Linked DNA regions of Schizosaccharomyces pombe. The protein of the gene in region 3 interacts with the protein of the main gene of each other region in a biochemical or structural test. Each region holds a gene or a part of one and is shown on either strand. Other genes may lie near its edges.

Region 1 (11,166 bases), 3.8 Mb from region 3:
CTGATAGCAAGTGGATTTTTTCAAGAGTGCTTGATATACGTGAGCTAAAGAATCAAAACCGGCTAACCCCTCGGAAAAGGCCACATTCGAATATTTCATAAATGATTCTACATCTCCGGTAGACTCACTAGTAAAGAAAAAAGAAATAATAATAAAAAACTCGAAATATAACCCAAAGGACGCGTCGGATGAAATTTCATAATTGTAGTAGATGGTAAACAAAGAAACTCACCCGTCGACAAACTACTTGCTTAAAAGAGTACGCGAAAAAAAATAATTTTTTTCCAAATAAATTAATAAATGAGAAATTCTCTAAGCACCTATTTAATAAAAAATTCATTAATTACTTGAACAAGCCAAGGAATCCAGTTCTTCACGCGTCAGTACGGCATATCGTGTGTCATTAAGTATGCTTTCTGTGAATTCGTCGGGGTTTTTAGGATCTACAGTTTTTGACTTGCATAGCTTTTTAAAATTTAACAGTTTGTCCTGCATAGGCTGTTTTCGTAGAATCTGAAACTCACGGAAAAGTTTCTCAAAATCACGTTCCGAATATCCTGGAATTTGAAGAGTCGACGACTTTCTATATTTACGTTTAAATTGAGGCCATAGCAAGGTAGATGGAAGTGAATGAAGCAAAGTCCAAAAATCCGATAAGGTATTTTTTCTACGCGTAATTTTTTTGGTAGAAACCACCGACTTGCAATATTCCTCAAACACCTCTTTTCGTCTCTCTCCCGAATCTAATACGTAAAAACGATCATCGTCTAATAACTTTGGATAAACTAGTTCCCACGGTTGGTATGCCCCGATGTTTTTGTCCTTCAAAAGTTCAGTAAATACTCTTCTAGCATCATCAGTAGATAAATTTGTAGCTTGTTCCTGTATATCATAGGAAACTGTTTCATCATCCAATTGTTGAAGTTGATACATAATATCTTCCTCACCAAACTCCAACTCTTCAGCGGAGTGTGATTTTTCCTCATCCTCTTCTTCATCAGATTTTTCATAAAATTCTTCAGAATATAAAACGGATTCCTCCGATGATTCTTCTAAACCAGAGGGCTCTTCAATCTCTGTTTGTAAATGCCTAGATTCATGTATTTCTTCGTGGTTGGTTTTACCACTATCAACGTTCTGACTCTGTGAGGAATCTTTACTGATTTGCTTCCGTATCGGAAGACGTAATATCTTCAAGTCTTTACTAATTTCCAAAGGAGGTTCCCAATATGATTCATGGCTTTTTAAATTGTGAAAGAAATACCGATTTTTCTTAGTAAAAACAACCACCCATGAATCATTATTAGGAATTCTTTTTCTAAAAAAAAAGTTAATAACAAAATTTTACGCCTCACATACTTGAATTTTGGTCTGTCCGGTAATTGTTTCCTCAAATCTCGAGAATTTTTGCGCTCTTCAGCATTTTCATTAACAAACAGCTTTTCGCTTGTGTTAAACGCCAAAGAAGCTTGCGAAGCAGTAACAGAAGATGAATGGTTTTTCTCAATGAAACTTGGGCGCTGGTAAGTGCTTTTTTTTAACTCGGCATTCCAGTAATAAGGAATCCCACTGGGTGCTATGAGTTAGCAAATAAACTGCTCATTAAATTTACCTTTATGTTCAGTCCATCCAGGAGGCAAAGGCTGTGACATTAAGATATGTACAATCAAGAAGTTAAGTTCGACACTATGTTAGGTAGTATTCAGTGGGCGTGTGTGTGAGAATAGATAGAACAGTTTTGCAAAATCCAGCTGAATAGTTATGTCAATTACAAAAAAATTTCTACAAACTATTAAAAAAAATCTGTATAAATTGCATAAATTCATAGGTGTAGTTAACATTATTGAATATACTACAAAAACCTCATAACAGCACCGCACGTAGCGTCTTCCCAAGTATTTCCTTTAGAACAAATAAGAAGTTAATGAAATGGTCTACCAAGTACAATATAATAAAACATTTTCGAGAACTTCAATTTTAATATTGTCAATTTACAACAACCCGCATAAATTTACGAGCAATTCATAACTCGTGGTAAATCGTTAAACGGCAGGCTGGAAGTATTTGTAAGCAGCTACATTTTTACACTAGTATTGACTCCTCTGGTTCAAATATTTTTACAAGCAGATTTTAATTATTAGCAACCTACACTGATAACTTTATATCTTGAGGATATGAAAGTACTAAAGGTAAATTGATTATCGTAAAAATAGCTCTCATTTATAAAGACATTTGTTGTACAGCATAGCTTGTAAAAATAAGCGGATTAACAACATACTAATTTAAATCATAATAGATTAATTGTATTAGAAGACAGGTAAAAGTCAGTCCTGTTATAGTAGTGTAGTAAGCACATAAAGAATAAAGCAAGTGTGGTAATCGCACTTCGGTAGACCTCATTAATGTTCGTGATCTAGTGCTTCGCGCATTTTCGAACTTGTCATCAACCAAATTCATTATGTCAAGAAGCTACGATTCTCGCACGACTATTTTTTCACCTGAAGGTCGTTTATACCAGGTTGAATATGCATTGGAAGCGATCAACCATGCTGGCGTTGCTTTAGGGATTGTAGCTAAAGATGGAATTGTTTTAGCTGCTGAAAAGAAGGTTACCAGCAAACTATTAGAACAAGAAGAATCCGCAGAAAAGTTATATCATATAGGAGACAATATGTTATGTGCTGTGGCAGGGCTTACCGCAGATGCAAACATCCTAATTAACTACGCTAGAAGGGTTGGGCAACAATACTTGCAGACTTTTAATGAAGAGATGCCTTGTGAGCAATTAGTTCGTCGCGTTTGTGACCTCAAACAAGGTTATACACAGTATGGTGGGCTACGTCCATTCGGTGTTTCATTCTTATATGCTGGATGGGATCATATTCGTGGATATCAGCTATTCCAATCTAATCCATCTGGAAATTACGGAAGCTGGCAAGCAAATAGTATCGGAGGAAATAGTACTAGTGTTCAAAGCTTAATGCGACAGGAGTATAAGGATGATATAAACTTAGATGAGGCTTCTGCTATGGCCGTGAAATTTTTGAGTAAAACGTTGGACAGTAACTCCCTAACTCATGAAAAAATTGAATTTGCAACAATAACAAAGGATACCACGAAAAACAAAATGGTTTGCAAAATATGGAAGTCAGATGAAATAAATGAAGTGCTCAATAAGTACCAAGAGACCCAGCGGCAATCTTAATATTGCCTTACTCAATTCATTGGGAAAACACTTTAAGTGTATAGCTGTTTTTTATAGCTTTCGTCGTTACCCTTTAATCTCCTTGTAATTAGCTCATGGTTTTTGTAAACAATTTGAAGCAAACTAAGTTCCATCATGAGCCTTATTCCGTCTCAATATAGGCTTGCTTTCTTTTTATCTACGCTAAATCATTATCTTATGAATTCTTATGCCGTTTTAAAAAAGGCTTTTTTCAAGTTTCTTTTATACTTAGACCTTTCTTTCTCATTCCCTTCATAACGTCAATTTCTACTTGAGTACACCATTCCGGCATATTTAAAATTATAGTATTTCCAATGGAATGTCAATGACTCTCATATGTTCTAAACTATATGCTTAGTTTTCATAACTGAAGATTTTAAACGGTGTAGCATATTCCAATTCTATACTATTTATAAAAATAAGAGAAAACTTTTTGATGAGTATTATTAACTTTCACTTACATATTGAAGGATAAAAAAAATAACTATTGATATCTAAAAAAGGAATAGTAAAACAAATAATCTAATAATCGATGTAGTATAGACTAGTTGGCTATATAAATATGTTGGTTTGACAACCTTCCTTAGCGTTTAGCTTGGATTCATACTCTTCAAGAGTCCACTTTGCGGTATCTAGTTCACATTGTTTTCTAATTAAACTGGCTTGAACTGATTGCTTTATAAGCTTAAGATCATGGTTGAAGCGATCATACAACAGAGGGATAGACTTTTTAGAATCTTCATTTAATCGAGTCATTTGAGCCAACCTTGCAAGAGTCAGATGATATTTGCGTCGTAAATCCTCGTATGCCTCTCGTTCTATTTGACCAGGTAAAATTTCCTTAGGGTGTCTTTCCGGCATTTCTTTCATGGCAATTGCTTGGAATTTCGATTCATCTAACTGTTTATCATTATTGGAATTCGCAGGGGAAACCGGAGTCGGCAATTCCTCTACTGTTCCAAAAATGCGATCACTGTGGTATGCAAGGTAATAAACAAGTTCTACAGCATTACTTCCAAACATGGAAGGAGCCAAGGCAATTGCTAGTTGTTTCGTAACAAAATCACATTGATCTTTAAGAGGAAGTCTCAAAAGCAAACTACGACGTTAGATAATAAAACCTCTGAAAAACAAGCTTGGTGACTTACTCGGAAGCAATAGAAAAAATGTTCTCAAGGATCTTTAGGCTACTCTCGGGTAAGTCTTGTAAGATTTTTTTCAAATGATAAACTGCATCAGTTGAATTGAAAGATAGATCTTCAATGTTAGTTAAAAAAAATCAAATTTGATAGCGATACATACTTAAATTTTCAACAGTATTTAACTGTTGTATGAATGAAGAAGAAAGCAAAACTCCAAATTTTCGATTGATAAAGGAGCTCAAATATTTTTGAAAGGTCGCATAAATAATATTTGGTGGGTAATGAGAGAGTAATTCTTCATTAAAAGTTTCCTTCAAAATATTATCGTACAGCTCATCCCCCTCAATCTTCTCCTTTTCAGACAGTGGATATAGTAAATTCTTTAAATCTGCTCAGTTAACGTTATGATCCAAATTGCAATATTACCTGTATGATATTTAAATCCGCCTTTGAAAGCTTCAAGATGTTCGACAGTTTTCTCAGCAGAAGCCTTCGAAGTATTATGAGTATTAAACTTCAATGATTTTTGTGAAATATTATTATGGTCCAAATTGTACATTTGCGAAGGAAGTGTAGCACAAGATTTTGATAAACCGCCTTGATTATAAAACCTGTTCAATGATAAACTGATTTTAGAAGGGCTTCCGGGCCTTCCTCCAAATGATAACCTACTTTTTCGTGGGCTGGAATTAGCAGAAAGCAAATGCTGTATAAGGTTTGAGTATAGATCCAAGCTTGAGAAATTTCTATTTGAAAAAGGGCATAGGAGAAGCCTTTTTATATTAATAAGATAATTAAGACAAGCCTCCCTAAGGTCTTCCTTAGCTATAACAGCTTCAGTAGGCAAACTGACACCTAACCAGGAATCGAAACTTAAATGAAAATCTTCGTCTTGTTGAAAAAAAGTAATGACAATATTACCGTCTTGCAAAAATTTATGCTTATCAACGTTGGCATCATTGGTGCATATGCATACTATGTCTGAGCGTTTTGATTCTTTCTCATACTCAAATCGTGAATAGTTATTAAAAAAAACCACAAAGTCATTGAGTTTTGAAAAACTAAGGCAGGAAGGCTGGCTTTTGTTCATTGAAAGTGCTTTTTGAAAAGACTGATAAAACCTATCCATAGTTCTTACATTTTCAAAATCGCAACGAAACTTCAAAATAGGATACTCATTAAAAAATGAAGGAGAAGATGCATACTTGGAAATTAAAAAAATAGTATTCTCCTCAACCATACTTCTTGTCAACTCAACCGCTTCATTCATATTTGAACCGATATATTGAGCACGCTTTTCTTTGGAATAAGAATTGCGAGGATTTTGCTTACGAAGATCCAATATAGTTGAGGCAATACTTGATTTGGAGCGTCTTTGAACAAGACAAATTCGATCATTGAATAAAATTAGAGTATAAGGTATTAAATGCAGTTGCCCGTTTTTTAGAAACTCCCTAGTCACGTCAATACAATCTATGAAATTTCGAGAGTTAGATATCATGTTTGGTGCTAAGTCAGGAATTATATGTTGTAAGCCAGCAAAAATCCTTGATCGTTCTTCGGCATCAACTGTAGGCATTTCTGCAATATTTTTTATAATCTCAACTGAGCGCACGTATGTATGTTGACATTCTCCTTCTTGTGTCAATAATATAATCTGATCTAAAAATAGTGAATATCGTGGAATCCTTTGAACTGGTTCCATAATAAGCTGACTCAAACCCACATTCATGTTTGCGTTAAGCTTTACCTGGTCATGGAATTCAACAAATTTGGGTATTTTTGAAGCCATCTTTAAAACATTACCAAAATCATTACTTTGCTCAAGGTAACGAGGATAATGTTGTGAAAAAGCGAAAAAATGAGATTCAAAACAACAAGCTAATCGAAGATCAATTTCTTCAAACTTTTTTTCGTCTATATCTTCAAAATTTAAATCACTCATGATTGCCTCAAACTCGTCAAGAAAAGCAGAATTGAGCTGAATTAATTTGTTAAGACAAGGCGGAAATAGGGTGTTTAATTCATAAAGTCCCAGCAATTTTTTCGAAGACTTGGCCAAATCCCGTAAAGGGAGTGCATAATCATTAACTAAATGGCGTAGTCTCTCAACATATGTGCTCTCTGTTTCCATCATCTCAATGAGTAAACTCTTTTTTTTTTGAATTGCAGGTATGGTTCCGGCATCTTTACTAGACGCAAAACTCGGACTCGGACTTGAAGTCTTTTTTCGTGAATCCTCAAACATTTCCCTACTTCCTATAACGGTTTTCCAATAAGAGTTAGAAGGGTCTTCCCACCAAGAGTTATCAACCTTTATGTCAAAAATAGCATCTACCACGAATTCGCGTACACCATTCGGCTCGCCAAGAGAATAAAGCTCACGAGTGAGAGAAGATGACTGGAAAACGTTTATTGTATCAAAAATATAGGAAGCATACTCAGGTTCAATGACTGACTCTCGCCAATTTTCGCCTGTATGTAAACATACAGATTCCACGCAAAGAAACTCATATACGCATGCAGCAGCTTCCTTATGCATACTAGCAATTTGCCATTCTAGGTCCAAAGTTTGCGCAAAAGCATCCAACTTCGAAGAGAAAGGGTAACATATAGAAAACGTGTCAGGTCCCAATTTCGATAAAGCATAAGCTGCTAAAATATGACCATCAACTTTGGCAAATGAAATCAATACCAAACCCATATTTGGATGATTGAAGGTACAAAATACATGATCTTGCTCAAACAAAGGATTCATTTGTAACAGATCCCTAAAAACCCATAGACCTCCAAATTGAATGCTAATTGCTAACAGTTCAGCACGCGAACCCATCGTGCCGACGTCCATGGTAAAAATAAATGAAAAAAGTAAGATAAAGGTCAATCGCGTAGACAAAAATATGAAACTTAACTTCGCCAAATATACGTAAACAAGTAAGCTTTTTTTCAACAACCGCAGTTAAATGTGATGGCTTGATAACCTGTAAAACTTGTAGAAAGAAAAGAAATAGAGGTAGCAAAATCCCTTAAACAGTAAAACAAATAGTATATTGACCAGTCAAGCAAAGCTGAAGAAAAGTTTTAAGCAAAGAAGCAATGGTTCCCAAGAAAAAGAATTATTAAATAAATTAAACCTTCAAGACTTTTTACAAAAGATCGATAGAACGGAACTTGATAGAAATTGTTTTTATGCAACTCAAAAATTATTAATGATTATAAGAAATCTCAATTCAATGTTTATTAGTGAAAGTACTTCCAGTTATACAGCTACAAAAGAAAAAGGAATAGACCCAATTCAGGGACTATATCCTAATCTCACTTGAAGCTTCCGAACCTGCTTCTCCGATGTGGTTGTTTGAATTAGGTAGTTTTACTCCATTTCTCCATTCACCGATAGGACATATGGTAATTTTCTGCAGCGAAAATCCGCTACAGCTGCTAGTCTTTTACCATATTATTAATTTAATCTTTTAGTGATCATTTTCTTGTTTTCTAACAATAAAGTAAAATAGCAACCCAAAGTCAAATCTGTCATTTATTGAGATCGGGAATTACTTAATAGACAAAAAAAGAGACATTAAATGGAAGCGAATGAAGAAAGATGCATTTTATTAAAATACCCTCATCCAAGCTCTGATATTTCTTCTGAATATTTATTGTTGGAACTAGACGACGATTTATTAAAGACTCTGGAAGAAAATCCTGAAGAAGAGTATGTGTTTCCTTGTGTATAAATAACCTGAAGTTGAATCATTACTTTTTTATTTTTTATATCGCTATTTGACAACTTATGATCTAACATCGATAATAGGATTGTCTTTAAATCAGATTTTGATAAAAAGGCTTCAGTACTCTGTACTTCAGATAAAACGTATGCTGTGCGTCAAGTGGTTCAATCAAACTCGTATTTGCTTTTTGATGAGCTCAGTCCTACCGACTGGGTATTAAATGACACATGTTATTCATTTTTAGAAGTTGAACGGATTTATGGGTTTATTTTTTCAGACGACAAAATTTCTTATTGGGACGAAGATTCTGTGGAATTGGTATGCATTTTATTGAATAGTTAGCCTTTCACTAACAGTCTCAACAGAAGCCCATTTCACTTACAAAAGATCAATTTATACGATCTGTTCCTGCTAGCAGAAATGAAGTCGATTCATTCTTGCAGAAAAACTTTTTCATGGTAAAGAATGAATTCTTGTACCGATTATCACCTTCTTACATATGTTCAATTATTGACTGGATATTTGTTATAGCCCAACAGTTACACATAGACTTTGCAAGTTTTGAGTTTAAGATTTTAAAAAAGCCAGCTATGGATGACGAATTTGATTGGGATTCAGTAATTTGTGTTCTTGAAAGTATCTCTTCACCCATTAAGGACAATGTCTTACCTAAAAAATTCAATATCGATTTAGAGTTGACGACTTTTTGGTATGGGCGATTTTTGTTAGAAGGCATCAACAGTATAAGCTCCGATGAGTTCATTCAGTTATGGGATAATCGTCTTCCGTATCCTTGTAAAGGACTTCCTTCTTTGAATTTATTAAAGGTAGGGCATTTTAGTCAGCTAATGCTAAAACTCTTTAGGGTTATTATTTTCACGATACCCCAAATACGATTCAGTATTTATCAGGAGATCAGTTACCGAGAGAACCAAGTAGGCGGTTTCAATCTTTGTTTCAACTTAAGTCGAAATGGTTATATGAAGAACTTTGGAGTTTCGTTAAAGATCTTGCCTTGTCGAAATCAAGAGTTGAAGCTCTTATATTGAAATATGGGCGAAAACAAACCAGTAGGGACGGTGTTTACATTAATTCTAGAGGGACATGGTAAAACCTTATTTGGCCGGTACTATACAGGTTGAAAACTTGATTTTATTGTACATTATTTTCGACAGGATTATGAAATCAATTAAAATTTTAATCAAACTTAAGTTTTAAATATTAAGACTCTGGGTTTTATCAACAATTTCTGAAACAGATCTAGGAGCAACATCATAATGAAAGACAACGTCGTCTCCAGATCGCCAAATTCGAGCCTTAACAGTTGCCAATGTCATTTTGGGGGTAACGACGACATCTTTGCATCTAAATTGAAGGGATGATACATCCTTTCTTTGTTGGCTAAGCTTGCTATAGCTATAATCCATAATTTTCTGAGCACGAAGCATAGCACTAGCACTTAAACGAGTGTTTTCATTTACAATAAGCGGTAAACCACTTCCAGGAAAAGGCTGAAGAGTAAAATTAACAGTAGGGGCAGTTTTAGAAGGAAATTCGTTTAATAACAGTAATCTTCCAAGCCAAAAGGGCATAATATTTTCAAGTAAGTCAATATCGTCAGCCATGTTCTCAAGAGTAGAACGATATATGTCACGAGAATTACCGGCTTCAGGAGATTCTTCGCTGATGATAACAGTAATCTGACTCGAAAGATTTAACATGGGAAACGTATCATCGTTTGGTGGTTTCATTAAACTAAGAACGGTGTCTTTATCCTTAAAATGTACATATTGTTCATGAAGATCTTCAATCAACTCACCAGTCGTTTTCAGCTCTCGCGGGGTACCAGGTGATGATGCCTCTGAAGTTTGTTGCTTATCTTTAGCTAGTGTGTTATTTTCTGTATTTGCAGCATTATTAACAGTATTATTAGTTTTAGACAATGCTTGCGGAGAAGTTACCGAAGTCCCGGTACTGAAAACGCGGCTTGACGCAGCTCTCTCTACAGAAGCTTTCATAAAATCGGTTTGTAATGATTTGGATGACTTTGATCTTCCAAGTTTTTTAAGTCTGCCCATAAATGAACCTTCACGAGTTACTTTGGGGGGAATTATCTCTTTCGTTCTCACAACAGTAGGGGATCCAACTACCTCAGTATGTGGCTTTCTGTTACGATTTTGCCTGGCGGGGATCGAAAAGTAATCTGGCGCACCCATCATAGAATCTGTATCTGTTAAATTTGTGTAAACGGGGTTGTTTGATGGAATTTGAAGAGACGGACCAGGACTTTCGGGGGGAGGCTCGAGGGGGAATGGGGTAGCGGAATAATCTATAGTAGGAGAAAGTAAAGGTTCTGGAGGAAGAGATAAAGGTGATGGACGAGATCGAATCCTCAATGGAGACAAAGCTGATGGCATATTCACATTTCCCTTTCTTGCTTCTTCTCTCTGGGCTTCTATCTGCTTCTTAGCTTCAGACCTTACAACATCTAAATTTTGTCTAAATTTTAAATCACGATGAAGCTCGGCATCAATAAATTCACGAAATAAATTTTTTAAAATCCACACCCCTAAGTTTATTCTTTTATCAGAAGGGGAATCAACCTTCAGAAGAGGACATTCATCAGCATAAATTTCGGCATCCATGTAGTGATTTTCATCAAGAGTAACAGCAAGAATCCCCAAAAGGCAATTAACAGAAGCCCACCTAGGTATTGCTTGAACAGTATCCAAACTTTGAACAATCTTTTCAAAATCTTCTGACTTATCAAATTCCCCGGCTTGCTTACAAGCAAGTATATCCCACAAACATTTATTGCCGACAGCGTCTTCAGTTAAGACATGCCTTCGATCACCCAACATTCGATATTTTAACAAACCAATACCACCATGAATAACATAATCAGGGGTTTTGGTTAAATTGATGTTAGAATAGCTCTCAGTATGATGCAAATCATAATATATATCCTCAGCATCGTCGTGATATAATGTTGGACAGCTATGATTTCGTATGTCAGAAGAATGTCTCGAGGGACAGTCCGATGATACAGAAAGATGAGATGAGGTATGCT
Region 2 (10,801 bases), on a different chromosome or scaffold from region 3:
ATCCTCCAATTATATTGTCGCTGAACCGATACAGAATGTGATCTTAAAAATAAAAAGCAACTGGGGAAATCCCAATTACACATGCTTGTATCAAGTTCGAGTTCATGGGACTGTACCCAATGCAGACGAACAACCAATACCTTCTTTAGGTGAGAAAGCCGAAAGTACTGCAGAGAATACGGGTCAAGATTCATCTTAAAGACCTACAAAATGTAAGATATAAAAATAATCTAGCCTGGAATGGTTTGAAGATCATAAAAGAGCGATTCTCTTTTTCGATTTTCCTCATCTGCTTCCTCGAGCATCAATATCTTTCCCACTGTTTCTGGAGGATTTAAATTGAAGTTTTTTGCACGTTTCCAGCGTTGCATCCTTGTCATACCAAGATATGGTCCATATCTTGCCGTAGTGTCAAAGTGATGCAAAATGAACTCTACTTTGGTTATATTTTCACAATGTATTGGTTCACTAATCCTTTCAGCCATAATTTGATTCCAAGCCTCTTCTACCTCTTTTGAAAGCTCATCGTCTTCTTTAATTCTCTCATCCAAGGTTTTGGTTGTAATTGTAACATCGGGTGTAGGCGACTGTTCAGAACTCACTTTCTTCCCTATGTGGGATTGACTTGAATTACTTCGAACTACATGTGGAAACACGTCGCGAATATTAGTGTTTTGCCCTGATTTTTTCGCTTGAGTAGTGCGCTTCTTCATACTGCGTGATATAATTCTGTAACACTGCGGTACTAGAATGAAAGGTGCACTATAAATCCAATTCTTTTTCGTGTTTACTCAATTTAGAGCATTAGTTTGTTTGGCCAAAAGAAATCTCTGAAAAAGTACATTTGGTTGCAAGTGTACTTTTAATATGTATATATAACTTTAGATGACTACTATAGCGATGTTTAAAATGCGTCACGCTGACGAGAAAATAAGTATCCAGCCATCCGCTCGTTCTTTATCGTTATACATATATCAGCCTTCATATATATTATTATTCATTTAGGTCCAAGTATTTAAGTGCATTATTGATAATTATTAAAATAGAAACTTCTTGACGACCCCTATTTCGGTATTTCTAGTTCGTTGTTGGAGCAAACAAGAAGTAAACAATACTCGTTATTAGTTCAGATAGTATTGTGGAAATTTCATAATTAGATACAAGTATTTTAGCAATACGTGTTGTCTTAATCCAGCCTTGGTCATGCAATTGAATCACTTGCCAGCCTTCCTAACATATCTTTAATACGTTTCTAAAAAGGGTTTTGGTCTTTACCGATTTAAAATAGGCAATTTCGTAAATGCAAATAGATATACTTATTAACATTTTCAAAATTTAAAAAATTTATAGTTAAATAGCTTTGAGTATTGCAAAATTTGTCTTTTGTGCTTTGCTAAAACAGCGTAACTTTTTACACTGCAATTGAAGCACAAAGACAGTTGAAACTTCAATTCCCTTACAGCTTTTAGTAATTTAAGTATCTAGTTTCATTAAGTTGTCTTTTTTTAAGGGCTTTTAAACTGTTAGTTATACAGTGGTAAACAAACTGACCGGGCTTTCTCAATGATTAAACTGCACTATCATTAAATACAGTGTAGTCAACCAAATTGTTATATTTTTTAATGCAGTCGATAAATTTACATAATGCTTTCAAACGTGAAAGACATCCTTCGTAAATCAAAATTATTGAATTTGTTAATTGTCCCTATGCTGCAAATAGTGCACAGGTAGTTTGTGTTGCAGAATTTTAGTTTCCACCAAGAGGGTAACATTACGCTATATGAGGTAACACTTAGAGGGTTTGAATGCTTTTAGTACATTTCAAAGAACCTTCCTCCCTCGACGTCTGCCAAACGTGTAAACAAAGATTGTTAATCAGTTTAGAGGAGAACATCGAATCTAGCTGAAATGTTTCAAGCACCGAGAGAATCCACTCTTTGTAAGCATCCAATATTGCGCTGGATGGTAAATTATTAACATGTTGTAGTTTTGAGTGGTGAAAAAATCAGTGGAGAGGACGTACGAAACCAAAATGGTATGTTAATTTTCTTTTCATAACTTTTAACATTTTAGTTTTGGCAACGACCGCAATTGCGAATGTCGTCAAATCATCCTTGGGTCCTGTCGGGTTAGACAAAATGCTCGTTGACGATATTGGTGTATGTTAAAGACCTCGTGAAGAAAAGAAAATTTTAGACAATAATGGGGGATATTGGCCTTTAACCAATATTTATTGATTTGATACGCTAGTGTTGTAATCTTCTCGCATTTAAGGAAATCTTAATTGGCAGGGAAGAGTCAACCTTATATTGTGAATCGAATTAATAAGTATTCCTGCCATTATAGTTCATCTTTTATTATATTTTTTCTTACTTTCTTTTATTTCTATCTAACTTGTATTAGGATGTTACTGTTACAAACGATGGTGCTACCATTTTATCATTATTGGATGTTGAACATCCTGCTGGTAAAGTGCTGGTTGAATTAGCTCAACAACAAGACAAAGAAGTAGGTGATGGAACTACTAGTGTTGTCATTATTGCGGCTGAATTGTTGAGACGTGCGAATGAGCTTGTCAAAAACAAAATTCACCCCACTACTATTATAACCGGTTATCGACTTGCTATCCGTGAAGCCGTAAAATTTATGACAGATGTCTTGAGCTGCAGCGTAGATAGTTTGGGAAAAGAGAGTCTTATTAACGTTGCCAAAACCAGTATGTCTTCAAAAATTATTGGTAATGATTCAGACTTTTTTTCAACCATGGCTGTTGACGCAATGCTTTCCGTCAAAACTTCTAATTCTAAGGGTGAGACCCGTTACCCTGTTAAAGCTGTCAACATTTTGAAGGCACATGGCAAAAGTTCTCGAGAGTCCGTCCTGGTTAAAGGTTATGCTTTAAATTGTACCATTGCCAGTCAAGCTATGAAAACTCGTGTTCAGAATGCTAAAATTGCTGTTTTGGATATGGATTTGCAAAAAACTAAAATGGCGTTAGGTGTGCATGTGACGATTGATGACCCCGATCAACTTGAAAAGATCCGTGAACGAGAAGTTATGATTACGCTGGAACGCGTCAAAAAAATTCTCAATGCGGGTGCCAATGTTATTCTTACCACAAAGGGCATTGATGATCTCTGTTTGAAATCCATTATTGAAGCTGGCGCAATGGCTGTTCGTAGATGCAAAAAGGAAGATTTGAGACGTATCGCCAAGGCTTCCGGTGCTACCTTACTCAGTTCATTGTCAAATTTAGAGGGTGAAGAAACCTTTGAAAGTTCCTACTTGGGCTCGGCTGAAGAGGTTGTTCAAGAAAAATTTTCGGATGATGAATGTATTCTTGTCAAAGGAACCAAAGCTTATTCGTCTGCATCAATTGTTCTGCGAGGCCCCAATGAATACTCTTTAGATGAAATGGAGCGTTCAATGCATGATTCTTTAAGCGTCGTCAAACGCACTCTTGAGAGCGGCAAAGTCGTTCCTGGTGGCGGCGCTGTGGAAACAGCTCTGAGCATTTACTTGGAAAATTTTGCTACCTCTTTGGGCTCTCGTGAGCAACTTGCAATTGCTGAGTTTGCACAAGCTTTGTTAATTATTCCCAGAACTTTGGCCGTCAATGCCGCCAAAGACTCTACTGAACTGACAGCTAAGTTGCGTGCTTATCACGCAGCCAGTCAAAATGCTGAGGTTACAGATGTTAAGAAACGGGGATACAAAAATTATGGTCTTGATTTACTTAATGGCGTAATTCGTGATAATGTTAAGGCTGGTGTTCTTGAGCCATCCATGTCTAAGTTGAAAAGTTTGAAGAGCGCCGTTGAGGCATGCATTGCTATTTTACGTATCGATACTAGTATCAAACTTGATCCCGAAAGACAACCAGAAGACCCACATGCAGGGTTGCACTAAAGCAATTACTTAAGCATAGGTATATTTGGCGGGTTTCATTGAATGTATCCAAAAATTTTGCTCCATAGATACAAATGCGATGGATATTAACATATATTAGCACTATAGCTGTTGACCAATAAACGGTAAATTATTAAACTCAGTAAATTACTACTTTGCTAGTGCTTTCATAAACAAAAGTCTAATGCCACTGTATGGATTATTAATGTGCATGCTTATAATATCATAGATACAACCCAGGTAGTAAAGAAATCCAAAAATGTTTAGTTTAAAAAGTCGAAATTAGAATAATTTATCAATGCAATGAAAGATTAAGAAAATGAGAGTAACTTTATGCTCAATTTAAGGTGCTAAGCATTATCGGTAGTCGAGGGTTTATCATCCTCGCATGAATAAGAAAAACCTTCAAAATGTTGCTGCATCTCTTTCGTCAGAATAGAATTAACAGGAGTAAGAACTGGGAGTTCTCGGGTAAATTCCTCATCGAAATACTTGGTGTCCGTAGGTGAATTCAAACTTGGAATGTACGGTGGTTGAGTTCGCTTATGATAGATGTCATCCCAATTAATGTTACTAAAAAATGGATGAGTCATGACATCTTCTGCATCGTTAGGGCCAGATCCAAGTCGTTTTTTAGGATCGCGAGTCAAAAGTTGTTGTAATATAGAAACGGAATCCCTTGGCATATGAATAGGATACAAAGGTTCATCAGATAAAATTGCATCAAAAATTTCTTCTTCGTCTTCTCCTCTAAATGGAGATTGACCAAGCAGCATTTGGTAAATTAGTACACCAAAAGCCCACCAGTCAACGCTTCTCGTATATTGCTGTTCTAATAAGATTTCCGGTGCCATAAATTCAGGAGTACCGCAAAACGTGGCAGTAGTGTTATCATGCCACATGTCTTCCTTACACAAACCATAATCGGCCACTTTAACATGACCATCTGGGCTTAAAAGGATATTATCAAGCTTAAGATCACGGTATATGATACCGTTATCATGAAAGTATTTTAGAGCAAGACACACCTCAGCAGCATAAAACTGTGCCCTTCTACGTGAAAATTGTTCCTGTTGAATGTGAAGCATCAAATCACCACCACTCACAAAATCCATGACAAAGTAAATACGGGTTTCGGTTTGAAAGCAAGAATGCAGGTTTACCAAAAATGGATGACGCTCTCGGTTGGCAACGAGAAAAACGCGTTTTTCGGATTTAGTGCTTTCGACTTCATCGTTTTCTAAGATGAATTCCTTTTTCAAAACTTTAATAGCATACAATTGCTTTTCACTTTTAAGCTCAGCCAGCATTACTTTACCGAAATTTCCTTTGCCTAGCACAGATAAGAAAGTAAAGTCTTCAAGTCCGATACGCTTAGCTTTATGCGTTAGGTCTTGAGCAACAACAGAGGTTTCAACTGATGGTACTGGGATTGGCTCTTTCACAGCATCTAGGGAAGGAGGTTTCGTCAACGCATCAGCTTTGTCATCCACTTTCTGCTCGACAACCTGAACTGTAGCGCCAAGTTTATTATCAGAGACTGATGTCACTTCTAAATTACCGGCATGTACAGGCTTTCTTTTAACCGGTTCAATTGCCAGTGGTTTTGGAGAAGTTGGAACAGGGTCTGCAGGAGTGATAGATGGTGTTGTGGTGGTTGTAATAGAAACGGATGCTTTGTCATTTTCCTTATGTTTCGAAGATGAAGACTTAGACTTTTTATGATGATGATGCTTGTGATGTGAACTTTTCTGTTTATGTTGTTGAGCTTTATAAATTTTAGTTGTACGAATCTCAGAAATAACCCGGTTAGCCATCTCCATAGACATACCACAGAAATCCGGAACAAGATGAACACACTGAGCGTGCGCAGTTATTCCACACTCCGTACATTTCCTGGCAGTTTTTCTTCCTAAAGGAAGGATGTAGCCACAGTGACAGCACCAATTAGCACCTATGTTTGTGTGAGATTCAAAATGATGAGGAATTCTATGGTTGATTTTCTCGTATTCGCTAGAAGCAGAATCGCTAGACTTTGAAATGCATTTAGTAACTACCTTTGGATAGCATTTTTTATGACAGGTGTAATGACAATCAATGCACTGCATACCAGCAGCATTCTTCAAAAACTCTCCACATAAAGCACAACGCATAATTTGATAAAATTGATGTTGTAGAAATTTGTGACCATAAACTTCGTGTACGCTTTCCTTGCGTTGACGGATAGCACCTTGACGACCGAGGCCAGCATCCATAGGTCTCTTCCTTGTATTATGCTTTGTGAAATTCATGGTCAAATTAATTTGTCCCATGGGTTCAAGAGAAAACCAAGCACTCACACTTTGATTACCGCTAGCTGTGTTGGGGCGGTCAGTACTTTCAGGCTTTGAAATATTATTAAGAGCAGAAGGTAAAAATATTGAAAGTCTTTGATTAATCATTTTGTCGGCACTAACCCAACCTTTATCTGAAACCTCTTGTTCAACCTTTTTTCGCCTTTGTTTTTCTACTAAATCCGATAACCGTATCCAAAGTAAACCAACAGGTAATAGCAATTTTTCATTTTTCTTTTCGTAAACAACTATTTCGACCTCATTAGTCTTCTCCAGATCAATTTCAAAAGTTTCATTAAAACGGTCGGTGCGGCTTGGACGAGTACGTGCACGCTCAAGATCCTCTGCACGAATTGCAACTATCATTTCCGTTTGCTTGGAGATTCCAGCAGAATGCGTGACGTTCCTTAGAGATCCTACGGTAATTTTAAGGAGACCAGACTGGGGACGACGGGCATTTAAGTTACCTCTACTTTCCGTACTGGGAACATCTTCCTCATCGATTTCGATATGCAAGTCATGGTATCGCTTCAAAGCTTGCTTGAGTAAGGTAATCTTTTGAGCACTTTCTACATACTTCTTCTCTGCTTCAGCTATACTACGACGGTCATGTTCACGCTCATAGAGCTTTGCCATCTTTTCAATACCTTTTCGATATTGTTCCTCAACAGATAATTTGAACTCCAATTGTTGTAATAAGAATGATATCTTTGAAATAGTAAGAGGGGTATCATAATTTAGCAAATCCAAGTTAGAATCGATATTAGAAGAAGTAGAGGAAAAGCTTTTAGCGGATTTTGTAGTGCTAAAGGATGGATTCTTCTCAATGCCAACGGACGGTTTCTCAGAATTACTCTTTCGGACACCATTTTTGCGAAGCTTTAGTTTTTCTAAGCGTTCTTCTAAATAAATAATGCTCTTTTTTGATTCTTCAATATTGCTATGAAGTTGTTGGTGAACTGTCTGATTCTGAGTCAAGCGCTTCATGGAAAGGGCGCCATGAATAACTGATCTTTCTCTTTCAATTTTCCTAACAACTTCTGTTATAGCCTCATCAATCATATCCATTACTTTAAATGGCCTAATCCTGATTTTTCCGCTTAACTTCTTATCTGCAATTTTTCGCTTCCGTTTTTAATATTAATGTGATTATAAGATTTCATTAAGACTTTTAAGCTCGATAAAATGCTAGTAAACACCCGCTTTAGTCCTTTCGATGTTTTCGTACGTTTAGTAGTTGGAAGGCGGTAGCTATGAAGTAAGACTGGCAAGCTCGCAGGGATTTCGCAAGCAATTCAAAGAATCCCACCACTCCATTCCTTTTTCAAAATTTATTGAAATATATGGGCAAATTTTTCAGCGACCCCTGTTATAATTTCGAAGGATTTTGGCACGTTAATCTTGAAAATAACGATTTTACAGAACTTTACCCCATAAATATTTTTGTCACATGTCCAATTTTATTTGATTGATGCTAAAATTGTAATAACGCAAAATAAAAAAATATTGACCAATTAATAGAACAGTTCATTATCCAGCTATCTTATTTGTCTTTTGTTAGTTTTACGGAATCCCGTCAATAATCGCGGGTACGTTATTGTAATCCATGTAATTACTATGTTTGCTGATATTCTTTTAGTTTGCATATCTTTGGTTTAATAACTTTATAATTTATTTATTTTCTCGCTTCATTCAGAAAAGATAGAATTCTCGAATTTGAACGAACATATTAAGAAATTTTTGAATATAGTAATCATCGTATCGTTCATGTCTGATGGAAAACGACACAGGATGGTCTGTGAAAAGTATGTTATTAGTATGATTATTTGGGTCTTTTGCTTGCTAAACTATTAGAATGTATTGATATATTTGGAGAATTTTGTATGTGTGCAACTTTGAACTTCCATTTTTGCTTACAATTCAGTGCTTGTAAGCATTCATTGTATTCTTTACGCTAGAAGACTCTATCCTCAAGGTATTCGATTTTTTAGCTTTTGATTTAACTCTCATATTAGACCTTTTTATAAAAGCTCGAAAATACAATACAATTGTCTGGCAATCAAGGCATCCGATCTTGTGCGAATATATTGAAGAAGTAGTGCAATCTTGTATCGAGGAGCTTCAGACGGTATTCTTAGTCATCCAATTCTTTTTCTAACTGCTCGTCTAGGGATCAGTACATCAAGTTGCACTCTCTATTATTAACAAAGAGCAGCGAGAAGAGGAACGATATGTCTTTTCAACGGATTCTATCCCGATTATTCCTGATTTCTTACTTGAGAAACAGTATGACTATCATTAGCTTGGCATAGGCATCTTTTAACAATATTGTAGAATTTCAACAAATGAGCCATTCACAGATGCTTACGTTGAATACATGAGAGCTTCGCTCATCCAATTACTCAATATAACAAATGGACTTCCTCTTATTGAACAAGGTATAAACAGTATTATTTTCTAAAAAAATATTCTATTACTAAATTCAATTCTAATAATACTGAAATTAGAATGCACTTGGACGCTTCGGGTAACGCTAAAAGATGGTTTTCCCAGACCAAAACAATGGGAAGAGTGGTTTCTTCCGCCGCAAGCGAGAGAAACAGACGCAACAAGGCAATTTAAGGGCATCACCATTCCTGTTCGAAATGTGGATATTGGACCAATGATGACGGAAATTTGGGTCGAGAAATATACAAATTCGGATTAGAGGTATCTCTAATTTTCTTTTCAGAATGTAGTGCAAGAAAAATGGGTATCTGCTATGAAATAAGAGGGGATTAGGTAAAGTAAATAAAGAATCAGTTTTGCGATAAAGGATTATCATTATCAATGAAAGAATTATTAATTTTGAAGTAAAGGTCCCTACCAATAAGAATTATAAATAGTTAGAAAATGTGCCTTACTCTAGGCCCAACCATTTTTTGCAATTCTCATATACCAGATATGAAATAGCGACACTAGGTGCTACCTTCAACAAATTAGGAGACAATCCTTTATAAAGCCCACGGAAACCTTCATTTTTTGTAGTTTTGTAAAAGCAGTCTATAAATCCATCGTATGTTGCAGGATGTGCAGACGTACCTTGCGTTTGTAAACGAGTACGTATGACATTAAGTGGAAACACTATGGTAGCGCCAGTGCTTCCAGAAAGTGCTCCAAATGCCATCACTAAACCATTAGGAAGTTTCACATCTTGTGGATCGACATTGTCACGACTTGCTAAGATACCTATCCATGTCCTCTTAAGGCCCTCAAATGTTCCCAAATCTGTTGCACTGTATGGAAACATACCCAGTATGCCCACGAGCACGCCTCTGTAATAACCCCGTATCCCAACGCTTTTATAAAGTTCCTTTGCGTTGGACAAAATAATGCTTTTTCCATGCTGACCACGAGATAAATCGCTGCACTGAATGCGAAATTTCAGAGTATCTACCGGATATATAAACATTTGAGCAACTGAACCAGCCATGCCACCGGCTAAGTAAGAATAAAGAGGACTATGATTTTCAGAGCTTGAAGATATTCCAAGTACTCGTTTCATCGCTTCATATGTACCAAATTTTATGGAGGATTCAGGCATCACCTTTAAAACATTAATGCCATTTCCCACAAAGAAGCTACGTATCCCATTACGGTTCCATAAAACTTTAGTGGTATGTAGCAAAGTAGCAAAAGGATACTTCGGGGAAGGTTTAGAACCAGTGTCTGAAATCAACATGACTTTTAGCCGATCTAATGGCGCTGTACAGGTACGAGAGACGATTCCAGCAATCCCTCCGCTAATGAAATAACCAACGTTATTTTTAGGGTCATTCTCTAGTAACAGATCACCGTCAGGTAAATTCTGTAAACGATGAAAGACGAGTTTCATATGCGGAGTATCATGAATCCAACTTGCAGGAATTATTGAATCATGTTGATGATGCGGATGTGGGTGCAATTTCCAATAGCCATGTCGAAATTGATGCTCAAATTTCTGTTTATGAATGAAGTTTAAATTATCTAAAGCAGTTTTCTAATGGTTAAAGAAAATCCTTTTACATTAAACATACCAATTCCGGACCTTGAAGAAGAGATTGGCAATTTATTTCTTCTTTTGGGGAAAAAACAAATCGCGATTCTGGAAGCCTTGAAACCCGTAAATTATTTTTAAACAAACTATAATCACATGGAAGTACGCTTTGTATAGTGATATCAGATAATTCAGTTGGCATCCTTCATGCCGGTAATGAGTGTACCGGGGTAAAGAGAAATAGGTGAGTCCTCACAGGTCAATGTATCTGACCATACCAGCAGCCCATGAAAATTTATCGTAAATAGTAAAATCTGTGACACTGTTTTTTATTATCTCTTATGATATTTAAGGGTCAATCAGCTTAAAATATCGTGTGATATATGGCAGCAAATTACTGGGCCTCTAGTCAATTGTAAGGTTATCAATTTTAATTTTAAAGGTTTTACGAGAAGGTAATTGGCCTTTAATTCATTCCTATTCTTCTTTAAAATGTCTTAATTGAGTTTTGAATATCTGCTTTTCTATTTTATTACTGCTGAAC
Region 3 (8,725 bases):
TTGAGCAGCGAATAGTACCAACATTCTTCTGATTGGACTTACGGTTGCATGAATCCTTATACAACATGAAAGGATTACCAGTTTCAACTTGTGATTGAAGAATGGCGTACCAAACTTTTTGAGCAGGTAATGAACGACGACCACGGTTCTCCTTCTCATACTTTTCGTAGAGGGCAACAAACTCGTCACCCCAAACATCTGCCAAACCTGGAGCCTCATTGGGGCAGAAGAAGGTCCATTGCTCGTTACGTTCAACACGTTGCATAAACAAGTCAGGAATCCACAAGGCATAGAACATTTCGCGTGCGCGGAAATCCTCGTTGCCATGAGTCTTTCGAAGTTCTAAAAAGTCCATAACATCGGCATGCCAAGGCTCCAAATAGGCTGCAAAGGCACCAGGACGCTTATTACCTCCTTGGTCAACATAACGAGCTGTGTTGTTGTAAACACGAATCATGGGGACAATTCCGTTGGAAGTACCATTAGTTCCAGCAATATACGAACCGGTTGCTCTAATGTTGTGAATATTAATACCAATACCGCCAGCGGTCTTGGAGATCATAGCACACATCTTGAGTGTGTCGTAGATTCCTTCAATAGAGTCGTCTTTCATCGTAACGAGGAAACAAGAAGAGAGTTGGGGACGAGGAGTACCGGCATTGAAAAGAGTTGGTGAAGCATGGGTAAAGTAGCGTTGAGACATCAAATTGTATGTTTCAATAGCAGCTTCAATGTCCTCACCGTGGATACCAACGGCGACACGCATAATCATATGCTGAGGGCGCTCAGCAACTTTGCCGTCGATACGCAATAAATAAGAACGCTCTAAAGTCTTGAAGCCAAAGAAATTGTAAGTGAAATCACGATCGTATATGATAGCACTATCTAATTCGTCCTTGTGTTTCATTACGATATCGTAGATTTTGTCAGAGATCATGGGGGCAGGCTTGTCTGTTTTGGGATTTACATAGTCATGAAGCTGTTGAACGACAGTTGAAAACACCTTCTCGGTTTGCTTATGCAAGTTGGAAACAGCAATTCTAGCAGCCAAAATAGCATAATCAGGATGCTTTGTAGTCATAGTCGCGGCAGTTTCAGCAGCTAAATTATCCAATTCAATAGTGGTAACACCGGGATACACACCAGAAATGACTTTTTGAGTGATTTCGACGGGATCAACATGATCGGAATCAAGGCCATAACAAAGCCTCGAAACACGAGCAGTGATTTTGTCAAAGGCCACTTTCTCTTGACGTCCGTCTATACAGTTAGTACATTATTGCTTTTCGATTCAATGTCAACAGTCAGTCAATTTTGAATACAACGCCACCAGCAACGAATCTGTCAGCAATCAACCGAACACTTGGAAGTAGAGCAAACGGCTAAAAGAACATTTGCTTAAACATCTCTGCACACAACAAACAGTGAATACTGAATGACACGCTTAAACAAATAGAAAAATCTCAGTTTCTTTAAACATTTACTCCCCAGTAAAATCACGACATTTTTCGAAACGGCAACGTTGTAACAAAATTTCTACTAATCTTCTAACTGTATTTTATTTCCTGTTTCATACCTCTTTTGTATACAAACATCGTGTTTGTTCTAGTTTGTAAGGTGGTAAATACCGGGAATATTTATAGTAAATGAAAAACGCGTTCAGACGCGTCACGCTAATATAACGTGATGCCGCGTCGCGTCATCCGAACTTTAAGTCATGTTGATCAATGTAAATAAATAAAGCTAAGAGTGGAAACCGGATCATTTTTGTAGCTCTACTATATCTAAAAGACGTTAATTAAGACTTGCTAAATAGATTTATCTTTTTCACTTCTGAACATCAAAGTTCCGCTAAAATAAGTCCGACTTTTAAAAATTAAAAAAATATTTTTTTAAAAAAACGCGATTAAACATGTTGAAGTGGTCTGACCTGATACAATACATTCAACTGTTACATTTATCTTTTATTAAACATAAAAAAAGTGTTTATAAATACTCTGTTTACGACTGAATGTAATAAATTAAATATTTATTTACGCGTCTCAATTGCAACGCGACGCGACTGTTTACATAAATTAAACACGCGGTCCAACCCGACTACCAACCTGCTCTATGAGATTGAACTACTAATTTCTCTAATATATCTAGATATCAATTTCCCCTTGTTCTTTATATTACTTTTTGATGTTGTCAATTACCTGTTGGAGAAGATCATAACATACAATTGATAAAGTATTGTTTCCTTGATTTATAAATTGTAAAGCTAAGTTGAGTTAGCTTTTTTGTTAAGACCTCTCAACTTTTAGATTTAAGATTTTGATTCCCATTTCTGTTGTAATATGTAACCTTACTAATGCTTTACATTAAAGCATGAAGATTTCGACTCTGCATTTTACTTATAAGCACTATAAAAGGTACACATAGAGATAGACAAACAGCTTTTAGTAGCTACAAAAACTTTGTTCTTTTCCCTTTAATTCACTATTTGCTCCCTCGCAATTATCCTTTTTTTTAGGTAAAGTCAACAATGCTTATATCTTCATCTGATAATCTTGCCTGTAGACAGAGTGAAAATCAAATGGTAATACAAATGCATAGATAGAATAACAACGGTCACCTTCAAAACATGAAATTGCAAACATTGGTATGCTTGACGTAAAGAGAATGAGATATAAACAGTGTGCAAATTTCCGCAAAATACAAAATGTTTAAACCATCAACTACGGCTATCTGCTACTTCGACTATCAACGTGTATAAAAATACCAAGCGCCTGTATACCAGCAAGGTTATCAACAGAGATAATGTCGCTTCAATTTTCTACAATAATTCTAGTGCAAAATTGGAGACCCAGCTAAAGTTCCACGATAATAAGCAATTACGTGCTGTGAGAAAGCTTATAAAATATTCGGGTTTTGATCGAGTTTCAATCGAGGTGTATATTCTTTAAATTACCGATTTATAAAAATTTACCAAGTCCTTTGACTAGGTAGAAAGGATAATAATGATGGCAATCCTTAACAAAAGAAACAAGGTATTATAGGAAAAATAAAACCATGCAATAACAAGGCAATAAGGGAAATTTTCTTCAAACTAATAGCGAAGAGTATAGCAAAGTAAGCAAAGACTGAAAACAAGACGCATACTCCTTGCAGGTGCCTATACGTTGCAGAACAGTGAGGGGAAATGGTAGAACAGCTATATGAAATGCGCTTAAATCATTGCCAAGCTGACTAAATGGCACGACTTGAGGTAAGTAAAAAGGAAAGAATGAGAGGATATAATGACTATGTAACATGATAGGCCACACAATGCAAAACTCCCACCAAGGTGAAGGTGAAATAAAAATCAACATAAGTCGAAAAAATACGGAAACTTGTTGAATGTGCTTCGACTGAAGAGATGTATAAAAACAGAAAAGATAAATTCTCTAAGTTAAAAAATTTGGAAACAAGCTGTTTACAACAAGATACAACGCTTCTTCTTCTTAGTTCCACTAGAGGGCTTCACTTTGGGCTTGTGTTTGAGCATAGCAGCACGAGTGGCTGATTCAAAAACCTCACGAACACCTTCATTCGTCTTGGCAGAACACTCAAGGTATTTGTAAGCACCAATCTTCTGAGCTACTGCTTGACCTTCTTCTGTGGTGACGGGATGCTGATTAGTCTTGGATAACTCCTCAATAATTTTTGGGTCGTTACGGAGATCAGCCTTGCAAGCGACAAGCAAAATAGGAAGACTGGAACAGAAATGGAGAACCTCGGAAATCCATTTTTCTTGAACATTGTCAAGAGAATCGGGAGAATCAACAGCAAAGCAAATAAGGATAACATGTGAGTCAGGATATGACAAGGGACGTAGACGGTCGTAATCTTCTTGTCCAGCCGTATCCCAAAGAGCCAACTCAACGTGGCGTCCATCAACCTCAACATCAGCTACATAATTTTCAAAAACAGTGGGAACATAGACCTCGGGAAAGGTTCCTTTAGAAAATACACTATAAAGAAAAATGTTAGAAGTTGTATAACAATGACACAGACTCGTGAAACATTGCAGATAAGCAAGCAAAGAGTAAGTAGAAATACAGGGTACGGAGTGCAAATTAAATCCTCGGAACATTTATTAAATGTAATCTAAACCCCATCTAAGTCTCATTTCTATGGGGATTCTTTCATTATTTTCTTGAGGCAATGAACATGCTTACGGAAATAATTTTCTTCTCCAGCCATGCTAAGCAAGAGATGTAAACCCTTGCCAATTTAAAACAGGCCCAAGCAACTACTTTACCCTTCTACTACCTTTCCGACGCTTGCACCATTTTTACTTACATTAATAAGCATGTTTTACCACATGCACCATCTCCCACAATAACGAGCTTTCTGCGAAGTTCTGTCGCCATCCCTAGATTTGTTTACTTTCTCCTGCTCTAGACAGAAAAATTTCGACGTAAATAAACGTTTTTCGACTCAAATTCTGACACCGCTCTTTCCTTCGATGTGGCAGTGGTTAGCTATTTACTAGGCTGTCAGCGGCTCATGTAACAACGAAAGGAAAGAAGGAGACGCTACTACACTTCACTAAATCTCGTTACTTTGCCCTAGCGCTCTTATAGATGAACCCTTTGAGTATGTATGGACGAGGCTGAGCCTGTACAGAGTGTAAAGTGCAATTAAAACAGTTTTATTACAAAAAGATTGTCTCCACTCCGACTTGATGTCAACAGACGTTTTTTTGTTTGAATCACAAACGCCAAAAAAAGCAGAAACCAGCGGAAAAATTTCGTTAACGTATTCAGTTTAGTCATAATATTCGAAGATAACGGAACGCATTTAATCCGCTTATCCTATTTTAACGTACACACTTTATTTCAGTATTTTATAAATAATAAACATAGCAGGAATATAGAAACTTTTGGAAGAGACATAAAGAAGCAAAGCTTCGTATAAATAGCTATAATTATAATTGTATACTCATAAAATTAAACAGCATTCTATTTGTAAAATGCAAATGTGAGATGAATTCCTAAATTCAAAAAGCGGCAATTTTTGGTGCCGAAAAATAATTTTACATGTCAGATTGAAGTAATAAAGCAATATTACGATGCTCTTTCTTTCTATCGTCGTTTTGTTTGCTCTCTTATTTCTCGAGATCAATAAAATCCTACTTTAATTTTACTAAAATTATATCGCCCAAAAAAATATTGATCCGGTAGCAGATCTACAAATATACAAAAATGAAATGTAACTTTAGCCTCTTTTATTCTTCTTCATAGTTAAAATAAAACAGACGGTTTCAGTAGATCTATAACTTAGCTCTTAACTCACTACTTTGTCTCTTTTAACTTTTGCCATTGATTCATTTCAGTACTGGAGAACATAAGACCAATATATTAAACAGTTTGAACAGCGCGCCCTATAGATTTCCCACAAATTGAAAGAGAAAAAAGTCCTGAGTCGTTATTATTGAACATCTATCAAATTGGATACCGTATTATTGATCGCTGACATTTCATTTTGTAGTTGACAAGAAAAGAAAAAGCGGGTTGAGTAAACTTTACCTTTTAGTGCTTTAATCTTGTTTATAAAGTGAAAGTGGTTGAAAGCTGTGTGGCCTCTTAATTATACACATATATATTTACGCGGTTACTTTTTTTTTATAGTTTATAAATTAAACTGATAGCTTTCGATGATGCCATCATCAAGTTTCCAACAAACTCCCAAACCCGTCGATTTAGACGATCCAAGGTTTGAACAGTACGATTGCTTGCCATGCCGCTTGGTGGGCGCAGGCGCTTTCACAGGTCTAGGAATATATGCCTATTCGCAATCTAGAATTCCTTTGAATACACCCAATTACAAGCTTAAACGATTCGGTATTTTGGGAATGGCTTATGGATTTATTCTTACCGGTGTCTATAGATTGTTTCAATAAAATGTTAATAAACGTCGTTTTCTATTATCAGTTATCTTAAGACGTGAAGAAGTAACTTGAATCAGAAGTAAATGTTTTTTACTAAATTGCATTTTAATCAAACGGGTGAAGTTTTTTTGCTTTCTGATGCACATCCAACAAATATGCTTAAATGGTAACTAAACCTATACACTATAACAATTATGGAATAAAAGAAAAGAAGCAGAAATGAAGGGAAAATTCTGAAATATAATTAAAAAAAGAACCATAAATAAAAAAAAGGATGCGAATACACTAAATAGTTGACTTTTGTCTAAAAATAAGATTTAGACATTGATTGCTTATTGAACCTCCTCGTCGAGTTCATTGTAAGAATGCTTGTGTGAATTGTTTTAAAGGTCTTTTACCCCAAACTTTGTAGAAAATTATAGTTTAAAAAAATCTCAGAGACAACAATTGTATAATAATGAAAGAATGTGTAAGGTAGATGGAATGTAATATATATGTAATACGACACAACATTTTCCATCCACGTTTAACGAAAAGCATTGTTAGGTAATGGTTTGCGTCGACGTTCAGCGTTGTTATTATTTTCAGAGATGCGGGTATAATCTGATTCCATAAATGGTTGTTCGACGTCAGTATTTCCACGAAGGTTGGCATACGAAGCTTCTTCGATAGCGTCCCAAGGGGAAACATATTTGTTATTTGTGAACGTACTGTCTGAATCATTACGATTCGAAAACGGATATTCTGGTGTATTAAGGTCAACGGAGCTTCTCAACGTAGTTCCAGAGTAAGCCGGATCAGAGAAGGCCATGTCGGAAGAGCTCATATCCTTAATAGATTTGTTATACGAGGTAGCCTTCTCGCTTTGGTCATCGAGGATACGGTAATAAGTACCATGTCCTGATTTACGGAACAGGACGATAAGTGTACGTATAAATATACCCAGGATCAAAAGAAGCATTGTAATAGCGTTCAATGCAAAAAATATAATGCCAATAACTTGACGAGCTAATTCCTCCACATAAAAAGCTTGACACATCACTAAAATAAAAGAACCACTTATCAAATTCATTAAAGCAACACCGATATGCAAAGTATTCATGTGTTTAGTGGCATAAGGTCGGAGAATCACCATAAGAGCAAAAACGACAACGCTAATACCAAACATGGCACAGCCCTGGACTTTGGGTGAGCCCTGACCAAAACCGATGAACATTGAGCGTACCAAGGTTATAAGCAACAGTGGGAAAGTAAAGTAAAAGAAACGGACGTCTAATTGCACGTACATAAAGCCCCAACGCATCAAGTGTTGAGTGTCAGAATATAGGTTGTACAAGACGTCAGGATGGGAATAAGGTCCTGTTTTGCGGATAATTTGAATTGTCCGCACAAATGCATAGCAGAGCAAAACTGCCATGTCCACAATCACGTACATTGATAAAAATGCCAAAGCGGAAGAATCACGAGTATAGATTTCCCACATGGACAAAACACTCATTTGAGTGAATCCGACAAAAATCACACGATAGAAAAATCCTTTGGATATAGATTTCCAATAAAGACGGATACGTTGCTTTTTCAAAGCTTGATTTCTGGATGCAAGGAGCACCATTTCAACAATAAATCTAGAAGCCATAGCAACTAGTAATGAAAAGAACAACAATATAATAAAAAAGGAAAACCCAGTAGCAAAGAAATTCGTCGTTTCAATCCCCATCATATATGAAATACGCTTGATTCCCCTCAGGGTAATAGAATCACTTGTGCTAGTGGTGACAGTAGTAGTTGCACGCTTGGCGAGAGAGCCCAAATCAATACCACGTTTTGCGAGGGCGACATTAGCATGTATACCCAAATCTACAAGAGTAGATGGCGTGCCGCCAGTTGATTTAACGTACCATGTAAAAACATCTTGCATGAAGCCAATCCTGATAATACCCATCGACCACATGAAATTACGGCCCCAACTGTAAATGATAGCAGGAAGAGAAGTAGCCATCATGGAATACAAAGCCTGGATTTGAGCAAACTGAAATAAGGTAATCATCGTTTCAACGATTTCCCAAAGTGCGGGTGTTTGAAGAACAGGGGATATCAGTAAGAAAATTAAAAGTGGGATACCGATTACCATACACATAACCCAGTAAACAGCTCTGTGGTAAACAGAACGACCATTTTGCACTGTAGTACGAACACAAGCTAATTGTGTGTTTGTATCTGATTCATAAATATTAATAGTCACAACAGCATCTAAATCCGGAACTGTGTATGCAATGGAGGGAATACTATCAAGAATAGAAAGAGCCTCTCCGGTTAAAGTATGACTACCAGATAAAGCAATATTTCCAGTCTGCATTGGACAGAAGCCAGAAATTTCCATATCGCAAGGATCTATCACCTTCTTTATTTCGATTCCGTATGCACTAATGTCGACGTCTATACTGACATTCGTAGAAACAAGAGATTGTATCGAGATATCAAAGGCAACAGATTGATTGTCCGGAAAATACGAGGCATAGAGCTTACTTGCTGATAACTGTGAATCAGTCATACATGTGGACAGAGAGTCGGCGGAAATGAATCTGGTTAAAGCATCAGCCCATGAAAATAGCTCGACGACCACAACTAAGAGTAAAAGTGGGCTTCTCCAAAGCCTCATTTTGCAGTTGATGGTAGTGAGAAACAGTTGATTAATGGAAAAACAGGAAGGTGAAGTCAAAAGATGATATTAATGAATAGAAAAGACAGACTGTGAATTCCAATGTAACTGAGTCTCAAATGTAGCTAAAATTCTCCACAACCAGTTAT

The links.
Region 1: the proteins of rho1 (region 3) and gef2 form a complex in vitro, tested with the Schizosaccharomyces pombe proteins (one study listed by BioGRID).
Region 2: the proteins of rho1 (region 3) and pck2 form a complex in vitro, tested with the Schizosaccharomyces pombe proteins (one study listed by BioGRID).

What each region holds. Positions count from the first base shown.
Region 1 is NC_003424.3:416,516-427,681, reverse strand, and holds gef2 (RhoGEF Gef2), read right to left. Parts: upstream 7,741-11,166; 5' UTR 7,217-7,740; coding exon 4,795-7,216; exon of another isoform or gene 4,757-4,794; coding exon 4,529-4,756; intron 4,484-4,528; coding exon 4,375-4,483; exon of another isoform or gene 4,326-4,374; coding exon 3,779-4,325; 3' UTR 3,691-3,778; downstream 1-3,690. Other genes in the region: nuclear membrane protein Tht1, read right to left, coding at 1-99; splicing-associated factor Dre4, read right to left, coding at 340-1,318, 1,360-1,576, 1,613-1,652; pre9 (proteasome core particle subunit alpha 3), read left to right, coding at 2,459-3,205; Ctf18 RFC-like complex subunit Dcc1, read left to right, coding at 7,950-8,080, 8,180-8,414, 8,462-8,923, 8,962-9,207; bun107 (WD repeat-containing protein), read right to left, coding at 9,311-11,166. UniProt on the Schizosaccharomyces pombe protein: Has a role in the control of cell polarity and cytokinesis. Involved in bipolar growth and septum formation.
Region 2 is NC_003423.3:2,305,528-2,316,328, forward strand, and holds pck2 (protein kinase C (PKC)-like Pck2), read right to left. Parts: upstream 7,482-10,801; 5' UTR 7,311-7,481; coding exon 4,260-7,310; 3' UTR 3,910-4,259; downstream 1-3,909. Other genes in the region: protein Sad1, read left to right, coding at 1-199; DNA polymerase delta subunit Cdm1, read right to left, coding at 231-713; chaperonin-containing T-complex alpha subunit Cct1, read left to right, coding at 1,909-1,939, 1,988-2,035, 2,074-2,159, 2,404-3,909; DNA polymerase zeta Rev7, read left to right, coding at 8,017-8,047, 8,097-8,123, 8,167-8,217, 8,258-8,370, 8,413-8,528, 8,577-8,680, 8,750-8,949; SPOM_SPBC12D12.05C (calcium-binding subfamily carrier protein), read right to left, coding at 9,142-10,260, 10,298-10,459; cyclin CycC-like Srb mediator subunit Srb11, read left to right, coding at 10,641-10,672. UniProt on the Schizosaccharomyces pombe protein: Involved in the control of the cell shape. Target of the inhibitor staurosporine.
Region 3 is NC_003424.3:4,219,852-4,228,576, reverse strand, and holds rho1 (Rho family GTPase Rho1), read right to left. Parts: upstream 4,507-8,725; 5' UTR 4,398-4,506; coding exon 4,327-4,397; exon of another isoform or gene 4,255-4,326; intron 4,092-4,254; exon of another isoform or gene 3,996-4,091; coding exon 3,458-3,995; 3' UTR 2,753-3,457; downstream 1-2,752. Other genes in the region: ribonucleoside reductase large subunit Cdc22, read right to left, coding at 1-1,260, 1,577-1,595; protein tam6, read left to right, coding at 5,684-5,929; plasma membrane TRP-like calcium ion channel Pkd2, read right to left, coding at 6,444-8,576. UniProt on the Schizosaccharomyces pombe protein: Involved in the regulation of cell wall growth and actin cytoskeleton organization. Activates (1,3)-beta-D-glucan synthase.